Linked DNA regions of Mus musculus. The protein of the gene in region 1 interacts with the protein of each later gene in a pairwise test. Links are inferred from orthologs where the notes say so. Each region holds a gene or a part of one and is shown in the gene's direction. Other genes may lie near its edges. The genes, in order: Arfip2, Arf3 and Mal2.

Region 1 (4,446 bases):
ACCATCTCCCTCTCCCTCGAGTTCTCTTCCTGAGGTTTGACCAATGCTGCCTTCCTGACTGACTCTGAAGACAAGAAAGCACTTCTTTGTTTAAAGTCTTTATTGCTAATTTCACAAAGGCAGGAAGTACTAAGAGAGTAAATTGGGGAAATGGTCAACATTCCTGAATTCTTAGAGGCTTGTCTTTGTTCTGTTGTCACTGACCTCCTAGGAAGCAGTGGCTAAAGCCTAAGGGGGTAGAGTTTTCTTCCTGCTTTTGTTGTTTGGTTTTACCTTCTTCCCCTAGGTTCACAGCAATTCTTTTTGACAGCTGAAAATAAAAACTAGTTATGAGTCAATGTATATTCAGGTCCTTGAGTTAGTCCCAAGGACAGCCACTGAGAGCTCTCCTTTTGGAACCAATTTCCCATTGCTATTACTAACCTTAAAGCTCTACCCATAATCCCTGCTTTTGCTGGGGTGCTGGGAATGCTGAATTTGTCCTTCTACACATAAGAAGGCACTACATCAACCTCCAGGGCTAAAGGCAGTACACATGCACTAGATGACAGAATAAAGGCTGGTACCCATAGACAAATAACCAGACTGTAAAAACGGGTTTATTGGCTCCAAGAAAAGGAGCAACAGCACCCAGCTTTCAAGCTCAATCTCTCTGTACACATTTAGATAAGCCCAAGGTCCATAGAGGAGCCCATCCAAGCACCTTCTCTCCAGGGGCCAGGGACGGCTAGCTGCCTGATGGCGAGTCTCTGGTCTGTTCTGCAGGAATACCTGGCGCGGCCGAGGCAGCCTCGTAGTCCGCGATGCGGCGCTGGACCAGGGCGGGCATGAGGTGCACGTAAGCGGCCATGAGGCGGTGGTTAGAATGGATGAGTTTCCCAGCACAGCTGTGCAGGCAGGCCTCCTGGAAGGAAGACGGAGGGAAGTAGAAACTAAAAGGGGTCCAGTCAAGCCCGCCTCCTTCCTTCCCGGTCCCCAGCCTAGGAGTGAGGTCAAGAAAGAGGGAGAAGATGGGGGGCTGGGGGAGGGTGTCACGTCACGTTGTCAACTCTGGGACCCCCACACTGTCTCCACCTCCTCAGCGTCCAGAGCTCGGTGGTGCAGGCTGGGCACACAGCGCTGGAAACACAGTTCTGTCATCCGATTGTAGACCAACAGGAAGTCTCGCAACTGAGAGAAAAGGGAACCACGACTTCACCACCGCTAAGGCTCCCCGGGATGCACAGCCCGTCTCCCCCTCGGGTTCTTGCGTGTACCCCTGGAAACAAACTGCACGTCTAACCCAGAGAGCAACTGCGCTCTCACTCACGTTTCTCAGTTGCTGCTGCTGCTGCTCCATCACGCCAAGGGCGCACAGCCCTAGTCACTTCCGCCCGTGGCGGGGTGGCAGGGTGGCGCGGGGTTGGGGGGGCGGAGGGGGGAGGTTAGAGCTCTCAGAGTCGCCCCGGAAGTAAACTCTCACTACTCCCCAAGAGCTTGAAGGCGTAGCTCCAGGCTCGTCCTGCCCACAACTGCAAACGTCACTTCCGCCCTTTTTCTCTGCGACGTGGCCGGCTTCTTCTGCCCAGAGAGCATGTCACTTCCGCCAAATCTCTGACCTGCTGCTAGGATCGCGACGAGAACTGGAACCCGAGGTCCCCGCGCGGTCCGGGCCTCGCGCCCTGAGGGGAAGAGCGGCCCGGCCCAGGTGAGAAGGACATACTTGGACGAAGGGAAGTTGAACGCACGAACCTGTACTGAGGGCAAAATGCCCTGAGCCCTTGGCAAGGATGAGGACACACCTGATGCCCAGGTGTATGGGGGTGGGGGGAGCCCCTCACATCTGGGAGGCTTCAGCTGACTTTGGAAGGGATTGCCCGTGTCCTGGGAAAGAGAGCCTTTCACCTGACACCAGGAACATTCACTAACTGCTTCAACCAAGGCCTGCTGGGGAGGGCCTAAGGGAGTCAGGTGCATGAGATGGAGAAAGGAAGAGCCCAGACCGGCTGAAGGAAGAGGGGAAGGAACACCAAAGAATGTGAAAGACCAGGATTGTAGAGCATGCCTGAGTGGCAAGTGAGAGTCTGAGCCTAGGAAAGGGTTCTGGTAAACATTGCCTCTGCAGGGTTAAGTTCCCAGAGAGCATAGACCTCCCCTCTGGTCCTCACTGCTATAATCCCATTGCCTCAGTATCTCACTCATAATAGACACTCACTAGATAGTTGTTGAATGACTGAATGCATGAATGGTTACTGAAGGCGAGGTAGGGGGGTTATGAGAAGACACCCGAGGCTTTGGTATGCATGCATCTGTAGAGATAATGTCCTCAGAAGAGAAGAAACACACAAACTCAAGGAAAGCCGTGGTGGCTGATCCCAGGACACCCAAGCCCAAAGACAACCCCTGAAACCTCTGAGAACACAGGGAAGGCCTCCTTGTTCTGGAGTGCTGGCCAGTTTCCAGAATTGTCTGTGTTGGGCTTTACAGCGTGCTGGGGTGGAGACCTTGACTCCAGTCCCTTCCCTAGCCATGACGGACGGGATTCTAGGGAAGGCAGCCACAATGGAGATTCCCATCCACGGAAATGGCGAAGCTGGGCAGCTTCCTGAAGACGATGGGCTGGAGCAGGTGCTTCTGTTTGATTCTTCTCATTGTTTTGTTATACATTCCTGACTTATAAACCTTTAATTTCCCCTGTCCCGGTAGCCTTCAGTTAACTAAACTCCTTCATACTTTTCAAATCTTCTTTATGGTTCTGTACAGACTTTACTATGCACTGTCTCCGTCCCCAAAATGTTTCATCCATCCCTGTGTTCCTGAGGTGCCCCCCTCTTCTCTGACCTATAGGACCTCCAGCAGGTGATGGTGTCAGGACCCAACCTCAATGAAACTAGCATTGTGTCTGGTGGCTATGGGGGCTCTGGTGACGGACTCATCCCCACAGGTATGAATGATAGAGATAGGCTTGAGGGGTGGGGTGTTGAGACAGTTTGCAGGCACATAGACACATACAGGAAAGCTTGACTCCTGGACTGGAGAGCTTGCGAACTGCTGGTGTGAAGTTCATAGACAGTCCAGTCCCAGGCCAGCTCCCAGAGTTGCCCATCTGCCTCCCACTGGCCAGTCAGTCTCGAAGATAATCTCACTCGTCTTCTCCTCCTTGCCGCCACCATCTGAGCCAAGTTAAGACCTTAAGGTTATGAGCACTCAGGAGCTTAAGGCCAGTTTGGAGCTTTGTGAGGCTTCTCAGAGTTTCATTTTAGACTCTTTTACTGGCTAGAATTCTACCTAGAAATATAAGCCAACTTCTCTGTTTTTCTGTGTTCACCATCTTTGATCCTGCCAATCGCACATGTCATGTTTGCTTCTATTCCCGCTTATCTCGTACACCAACAACACTCCTACCCTACTCCAAGAATGCCAGATACATACATTGAATTGATTTGGTTGTCAGGACATGAGTCCTTGTTCCCCCTAGTGACCAGAAGAATGCAGTTGTCTGTCTAGATAGTCCTTCTTCAGAGAGGTCATTTCGTGTGTTTGGGGGGGTGGGGGGGAGGAGTGAGCCACAGAAGTGTATGGTTTTATCTAAGAGAAACTGGTGTCAGAGAACTTGGTCCTTTAGGGTCTGGCCGACATCCATCTCACAGCACGTCACCCTCTGGCCCTGGTGACGAGGTGGCCCGGGGCATCGCTGGAGAAAAGTTTGACATCGTCAAGAAATGGGGCATCAACACATATAAGGTAAGATTCAAGTGCTTCTCCTCAGAAATTCTCCGTGGGGACCTTTTCCCTTTCCCCAGGTCTTACTGTGTAGTCTTTGCTATGACTAAGAGAACGGGGGTGCTGGAGTAGTTCATTGTTGGGGTGGAGTTTAGATTTCTGACCTCACCCCCCCCCCCTTCCAATCAGTGCACAAAGCAGCTGTTATCAGAGAGATTTGGCCGAGGCTCCCGGACTGTGGATCTGGAGCTAGAGCTGCAGATTGAGTTGCTGCGTGAGACGAAGCGCAAGTATGAAAGTGTCCTGCAGCTGGGCCGGGCACTGACAGCCCACCTCTACAGCCTGTTGCAGACCCAGCATGCACTAGGTGATGCCTTTGCTGACCTCAGCCAGAAGTCCCCAGAGCTTCAGGTGCCTCAGCCAAAACAAAGAGGGTGGGGGTACTGGGCCCTGGTCCTTCCAGGCAGGCTTTCCTCAGCCTCCCTCCCTCCCTCCCTCCTGCAGCCCCCAGGGAGAACCCCTCTGGGGTGCGCCCAGTCCTGCCCCCAGCATCACTCACCTATGGAGGCAGCCTAAGGGTTTGTACAGAGGCCCAGAAGTTGGAAGGGTTGTGGGAGAGGGCTCACCAGTACCTCATAAGTAACCTGTCTCCACATCATCAAGAATGCCTTTGGTGCTTGGCCTAATCAGATTCCCTCCCTGCCTGCTGCACTAGCTCTCCGTGTTCTGTCTTGTAAACTCACC
Region 2 (3,647 bases), on another chromosome or scaffold:
TGGATTTATTTCCATTAATGCCCCCCCCCCCACATTTATTATGGGTATGTGGTGACAATGACAGTAGGCAGTGAACATGGACATGTAGTACATGTGGCTTTGGTGCAATGTTCATTCTTGATGAATCCCCCACCTCCATCCCACATTAACCCAGACTGTCATCAAACTTGATAGATAGTTGTGGGTAGCCTTGAACTTCTGATCTCCTTGCCTCCAGGTCTTAAGTGTTGGGATCACAGATGTATGTGTCACCATGCCCAGCTTTACAGCACATTGATCAACTGTAGTCCATAGATAGCAATCCTACTGGGCAGAAGAAATGACACAGGGATATCTCTGGTTGAAGCTCATGTCAGTATGCAGGATGGATCATCCATAGTGATTTAAGTCATGAGTGTGAAGACAGCACTTGGGAGGCAGGCGGATTTCTGAGTTCGAGGCCAGCCTGATCTACAAAGTGAGTTCCGGGACAGCCAGGACTACCAAAGAAACCCTGTCTCGGAAAACAAACAAACAAACAAACAAACAAGATAGGCCCAAGGAAACAAAGGATACAGACCTTGCAGAGGGGGTTACATTTTAATTAGGGAGATGACTATGTACCCATTAATAAAAAAGCAAGTCACAGGGTAATGTGTGCTTCATGAGAAGTTCACATCTTTCAGGGACTTTGCAGGACAGATGTGCAGCCAGCTTCTCTTTCTCTCCAGGCCTTCCTCCTTCCACCTCACAGTGCTGCACTAGAGCCCGTGTCTCTGTTGTCAGGTTACGGTCAACTTTGAATTGTAACTTCAGCATGACAGTTGAGCAGAGAAGTGGAGGGTTATCTAGAGGTTCCGAGCCAGGGCTATTGGCTGCTGGTCTTGTTTTTCAGCAGCTGGTCTCACTATGATCATATAATCAGTGATAGCGTGGTCATGGAGGACAGACAGGGAGAAGTGTGTGATATAAGTAAAATCCCTGCCAGAGCCTAAAAACAGCTCTTCAGCTCTCTCTGCTCCATCCCAGGAAACATGGAGAAAGTTTTCCTTGTGGAGGTCATGGTACCAGAAACCCAACTACTATAGGTTGCTGAGGTTGGGATGACCTGATTTTAGTAGCTGGACAAGTGTCCCTGTCACTCCTCCTCCCCCCCCCCCTTCCTGCCCTCACCTTAGGAATGTGTAAGGGCCTTAGATCTGACTGGATGAGTTGAGGCTGGAAGGACGGCGGGGCTGGCAGGTGGGCAGCATGGCTGAGATTGAGTCCTGAAGTCCAACAAGCCCTGTTGCTGGGGTGTGAGCTGGGAGGCCTGGGAGAACCACACCTGGCTCCTTAGTCTGGGGATGTCTGAAGATGAAACGCTTCTGCACTCAGTTCTTTTTTTATTTTTAGACAGCCTAGTACTTCAGTCCCTAGGGGCTCTTGATCTGAGTTCTATGCACTAGTCTGGAATTTGCTACAGAGGAATAGGGGAAACAAAACAAGAAAAACAAAACAAGCCTGAAGAAGTTCTCCAAAAAAGTGACTAAACTCCCAGCAGACTTCCCTGATTCACCTTGTAACTAGGATTCTTCGCTGCCCACCTCTCACATTCCTGGGTTTAGATGCGCTCTGTCCTGACCTGTTCCTTCGCCTTCTGGGTTTGGGGTGTGTGTGTCGCTGGTTTCCAGACTCTGGAGAGTGCCAGCAGCTGGCATATGATGATCACTGAACAAGCTGCCCGCTGACACATGCCTTCTGAGGCACAGAGAGCTGCCTGGCTTGAGTGCTCTGAACCCCCATTGCATGACTGTTTCAGAGGTGCGTTTTTAGACCAAGTATGCAGTGCACACCTGTAATCCTAGCACTTAGGTTGAGGTAAGAAGAGCATAAGTTCAAGTTTATCCTTGGTTACAGAGTGAATTTGGGACCAGCCTGGGCAATAGGGACCATAGCTCAAAACATTTTTGTTGGATGGAGAGATGACTCCGGGCAAGAGTGCTTGTTCTTGTAGAGACCCGAGTCAGTTCTCAGCAGTCACATAGCAGTCACAGTGGCTCACAGCGGCTCACAGCTGTCCCACATCCTCACAGTGCCTCACAGCTGTCCCACATCCTCACAGTGGCTCACAGCTGTCCCACATCCTCACAGTGCTTCACAGCTGTCCCACATCCTCACAGTGGCTCACAGCTGTCCCACATCTTCACAGTGCTTCACAGCTGTCCCACATCCTCACAGTGGCTCACAGCTGTCCCACATCCTCACAGTGGCTCACAGCTGTCCCACATCCTCACAGTGGCTCACAGTGGCTCACAGCTGTCCCACATCCTCACAGTGCCTCACAGCTGTCCTACATCCTCACAGTGCCTCACAGCTGTCCTACATCCTCACAGTGCCTCACAGCTGTCCTACATCCTCACAGTGCCTCACAGCTGTCCTCACCCGTTTAGCAGGGGTGTCGGGTGTTGCTGTGAACCACTGGTGAAGGAACAGTCAGTCTGCTTGAGCTGTAGGTGAGGTCGATAGAGATCTTCAGAGTTAATTGGACTGTTGAACTGCACCAAGCATTCGTAGGTTTCAGGAACACAGTGCTGCAGGGCCTCTTGGTTTTACTAAAGGGAGCTTGAAGCAACCAAAGGTTTTGAACTGAAGAACCAAAGGGCCTGGTTTGGCCTTTAAAGTCACTTTGCCTGTTTTGTGGAGAACAGGCTAAAAGGCTAGGGAAGACAGAGGGACAAACTGATTACCTGCTTGCAGGTGACCTTATGGGACAGCTCTCCCTGGGTGAGCCATGGAAAGCTCCCCACCATCCCAGCTCTGGATGTAGCTGTATCGACAGGGGAAGTAACAGCAGCTCAGGGTGTAAATGAGCAGTGTCTTCTAGAAGTCCTGCTTGCAGCTTTTCTTCCTCAGTTAGACTGGTGTGGAAGGAGCACTCTCTGACTAGAGCAGCCTGTAAACCTCAGGAGCCTTGTCAGCAGTTACAGGGCCACTCCTCATTCCGCTCTGCTCTCCGCCGCCTCAGAAAGCTCAGGGCAAGGTTGGCGGAGGAGAGGCAAGTGGGTTTGCAGTGCTCTGGGGTGTAACAGAGAACGTTGGAATTGAAATGACTTTAGAAATCTCCGACTAGAACCTTCTTGATTTTTAGGTGCAGCTCTGCAAAGATGAAGTAAACAGCCTTCCTAGTCATTGCAGTAGATTGCTGGCATAGCAAGGGCCCTACATGCCTCCTGCTTGCCTCTGCTCTCAGACATTCAGTCTGGGTGTGAGTGGGCCTTGGTATTCATAGTCCCTTCTGGTGTTTACCCAGTAGTGAGTGAACTCCAGCCTTGACTTTGGCAAATTCCACGAATATGAAGTCTTTACAAACAGTTGATGGTAAGGAGTTTGTGTTTCCTTTGTCTAGGGTCAAGTCCTCCATACCAAGGACCAGGCTAAAACCAGATTACACTGCCCCTCCCTGGGCCCTATTGACTTAAAGCAGCCACTGTAATCATGGGCAATATCTTTGGGAACCTTCTGAAGAGCCTAATCGGCAAGAAGGAGATGCGCATCCTGATGGTGGGCCTGGATGCTGCCGGGAAGACCACCATCCTCTACAAGCTGAAACTCGGGGAGATTGTCACCACCATCCCGACCATTGGTAAGGGCAAGCTGAGGGGAGGCAGGCAAGGCCTTCCCTTCCC
Region 3 (3,647 bases), on another chromosome or scaffold:
TCTAATACAAAGCTGCTACTGTGTTCTTTTTTTTGAGTTCTCGAATGCAAAGCGACGACTGTGTTCTTTTTTTTTCTTTCAGGTGCTTGGAGGACTTGTCTGGATTTTGGTTGCTTCCTCCAATGTTCCTCTACCTCTGCTCCAAGGATGGGTCATGTTTGTGTCGGTGACAGCTTTCTTCTTTTCGCTTCTCTTCCTGGGCTTGTTCCTCTCTGGTATGGTGACTCAGATTGATGCCAACTGGAACTTCCTGGTAAGAAATTTTTATAATAAGCCTAATGCAAGAAAATGTAAGAAATGTACAAATATCCCACTCTGTTCAGAAGTGCCCACGACTCTACTCTCTCTGTTGCTGCATGGAGAAGACAGATCAGCATGAAGAGGCCACTATGGTGCCCATGTGTGGGTATGGTGGACAAGATCAGCATGAGGAGGCCACTATGGTGCCCATGTGTGGGTATGGTGGACAAGATCAGCATGAGGAGGCCACTATGGTGCCCATGTGTGGGTATGGTGGACAGCAGGACCTTGGTTTGTAAAATTCCCACATTGATAGAACTGAAAAATCACACTGCTATTTTTATGATTTACTTGAAAACTATTTCATATCATACAACAGATGAATTGAATTATAACTGAACATTAGAACAGATGCCTTTGAGATCTCAGTTACATATGCCTTGAAATTTTCCATTAATTTCTTCTTTGTATATTTAAATGGGTTTAGTCATACCTTAATAAGCAGGGCGCTGATTGCATAACATACCCTCTTACCTGGGATACTATAGATTCTATACATCTATAGATTCTCAGGTCATACATATGTTTGTATATATTTAAATATATAATTAAGCATGCAGGTATAATTTACATAGTATCTACATGCATTGTATTACAAGTTTTATATCATCTGTAGGTTACTTAGAATGCACATCGTAAATGCTATGCACACAGCTTTAAAAAAGATTCATTCATTTTATTTTATGTGTGAATGTTTTACTTGTGTGTATCTCTGTGCATTCCTGGTGTTTGTGGAGGCCAGAAGATGATTGAGAACTATATGTAGTTGCTAGGAATGGAACCAATGTCCTCTGCCAGAGTATAAGTGCTATTGATCAGTGAGCCATCTCTCCAGCCCCTGCATGTAGTTTTTATACTGTGTTGTTTGGATAATGAAGACAGGAGAAGAATGTCTGTACATATTTACTATAGACACATATTTTTCTGAATATTTTTCAATGCATAATTGATTAAATTCACACCCAGGAAATTCACAGACACAGAAGTGGCCAGATTGTCCAAGCTTTGCAGAAAACGTGTAGCTCCATATTGTTTTCAAAAGAGAATATTTTATCATTAGTTCTTCTCTAAAATTAATTGCTGAGTCCTGAAAGATAAATTGATAGCACAATGTTCAACTCAATGTTTAAGATAAGCTACCATTCCCTGCAAATGACTGACATTGTATTTCCCCATGTGTTGCGTGGAGATTCTCTTTCATAGCATGGTCCTTCATTCTCTGGGATGCATTTTGAAAGACAGGTGGGGATGATTCCAATCCAATCCACAGTGACAGGGCTTTAGTGATGCACATAGAGAACTCTCTTTAGCTTCTGAATCACACTGGGGTGTTTTGGAACTTAAGTCAGACCATCATTTGATCTTTATATGTTGTTTTTGAGCATAATAGCATTCCCCCAGCTCAGCAGCTTTAGGGGCAAATGCTAAGGAAAAGTGTTTTACTTACAAAACGTACGGAGAACTATAATCCAAATGTTTTTAGCAGAGGCATCCAGCAAATAGGGCTGTCCTCTAAGACAACGCACAGGCTAAGGGTGGCATGGGTTAGGATAAAGCTAAGAAAGCAGTCTAGTGTAGTGGTCACAGCTTTCAACAGGCTTTCACATGAAGCTTAATTTGCCTAGGACAAAATAGTTAACTGCTCTGTATTCCAATTCTCTCCTCTGTAAAATGGAAGTAATAGCAACTGCCTTGCCAGATGCCCTTAAAGAATAATAGAATTAATGCATTCATAATGCTTAGCTTTGTGACTGGGCCATACTCGCCAAATGACAATAATTATAATTCCTTAAAGACAAGAGGCTTGTAATTCAGAACTTTGAGGGTTCTAGTTCTATGCTGTTGCTAAGGTAGTGTTTTCCTACATTTTCCCAAATTTCAATATTTGTTATTTGATCATATGATAAAGTCCACAGTCCCAAATTAGGGTACAGAGAAATAGTTCATCTCCTCTTTGTAAGTGCCTGACTTTCTCATGAGAAGATCTGCAAGTGGATCAGCTGATCTCCAAAGTTACTAAGGGAAAGCAGGTCCTTCAGGCATCCGACTTAAAGATTGCTCCATGTCTTTGTTCCGCTCTGCTCCTGCTGGTACTTCAGGAGCCTTAATAATCATTACCCATCTTGCTGGCTCTTCTCAAATGCTGTATCACACACCACCAGACCATTCCCATGGGAGTCCTGGATCTCCTGATTGCCTAGCAACTGAGTGTTCAATCTGGAAATGTTTCCGGGATCCTGTATTCTCTCTAATTGGTTGATACATGTACCATTTAAATGCTTAAATACTTTATGATGTCATTCCTGGTCTTGTTAGACAGATATCCGTACCGTATTCCTCCCCACTGCTTATATTGAATCTTCTTTTCAGTACTAAAGCATTTTTAGTAGTTTATTGGTCTTCCCAACTTGGCATTTCCCTCCCGTTTGTAGTATTACCTGTAATGATCAAGCAATAAACTATAAATGTTCTCCTTGTTTAAATTTCACCACTATATCAAAGTGACTGTTGGAAATCTGGGCCTGATGGTGCAAATCCATAATCCAGCACTCTGTAGAATGAGGCTGGAAGGTCTTAAGTCCAAGGCCACGTTGGGCTAACACAGTGACACAAAACAAAACAAACAAACAAAAAATTTTTTAAAAAGGAAACCTCTAATACTTTTCCCATAGTTCATCTGGGAAGATTACCCTATGTTCTCGTACATTTGTCAGTTAAGGAAAGGAACTAGGTATGGGCTGAGAAGGTGCTTAGAGCTAAGAGTGCCTCAAATGTGTAGACTTTTAAAATTTGGGGATATTTGCACAACTTTAGTGCTCAGTTTCAATGTTTGGGCCATCTCAGAGGTCGTATTTTCCCACTAACATTATCCACCATGCAATAGCTGTACACAACATGTGACACTATTGTTGCTATGGCAGGGGCTCAGCACATGGCGGGCATTCCAGCTCCTGCCTCCATCGAGTTTACTAAGTGCTGTTTAGGTTTAGATAAAGATTTCAAGGATGCTCACAACCAACCATCAGACGGAGCACAGGCTGATGGAGGAGATAGAGGAAGGACTGAAGGAGCTGAAGGGGCCTTATCTGGCATCATTAGGATGGGAGGCCCTTGGTCCTGTGAAGACTTGATGCCCCAGTGTAGAGGAATGCTAGGGCAGTGAGACAGGAGTGGGTAGGTGGGTGGGGGAGCACCCTCATAGAAGCAGGGTAAGGAGGAGGGATGGGGTACAGGGTTTGCAGAGGAGAAACCTGGAAAGAGGATAACATTTGGAATGTAAATAAATTTTAAAAAGTAAAAAAAAAAAGGAATTGAGTATAATCAAACTATATAAATATATTATATAT

What was found.
Region 2: the proteins of Arfip2 (region 1) and Arf3 interact in a two-hybrid assay, tested with the Homo sapiens proteins (2 studies listed by BioGRID and IntAct). The link is inferred for Mus musculus from reciprocal best matches to the Homo sapiens genes ARFIP2 and ARF3.
Region 3: the proteins of Arfip2 (region 1) and Mal2 interact in binary tests that used the Homo sapiens proteins (3 or more experiments, as listed by UniProt). The two-hybrid records come from large-scale screens. The link is inferred for Mus musculus from reciprocal best matches to the Homo sapiens genes ARFIP2 and MAL2.

Annotation. Positions count from the first base shown.
Region 1 is NC_000073.6:105,637,486-105,641,931, reverse strand, and holds the start of Arfip2 (arfaptin-2), read left to right. Parts: upstream 1-1,515; 5' UTR 1,516-1,687; intron 1,688-2,466; 5' UTR 2,467-2,508; coding exon 2,509-2,607; intron 2,608-2,826; coding exon 2,827-2,923; intron 2,924-3,604; coding exon 3,605-3,723; intron 3,724-3,891; coding exon 3,892-4,113; exon of another isoform or gene 4,114-4,206; coding exon of another isoform or gene 4,207-4,278; exon of another isoform or gene 4,279-4,370; intron 4,371-4,446. Other genes in the region: Timm10b (mitochondrial import inner membrane translocase subunit Tim10 B), read right to left, coding at 772-904, 1,075-1,170, 1,310-1,339. UniProt on the Homo sapiens protein: Plays a role in constitutive metalloproteinase (MMP) secretion from the trans Golgi network. May have important functions during vesicle biogenesis at certain cargo subdomains, which could be predominantly utilized by secreted MMPs, such as MMP7 and MMP2.
Region 2 is NC_000081.6:98,742,550-98,746,196, reverse strand, and holds part of Arf3 (ADP-ribosylation factor 3), read left to right. Parts: intron 1-3,367; 5' UTR 3,368-3,456; coding exon 3,457-3,604; intron 3,605-3,647.
Region 3 is NC_000081.6:54,588,232-54,591,878, forward strand, and holds part of Mal2 (protein MAL2), read left to right. Parts: intron 1-82; coding exon 83-253; intron 254-3,647. UniProt on the Homo sapiens protein: Member of the machinery of polarized transport. Required for the indirect transcytotic route at the step of the egress of the transcytosing cargo from perinuclear endosomes in order for it to travel to the apical surface via a raft-dependent pathway.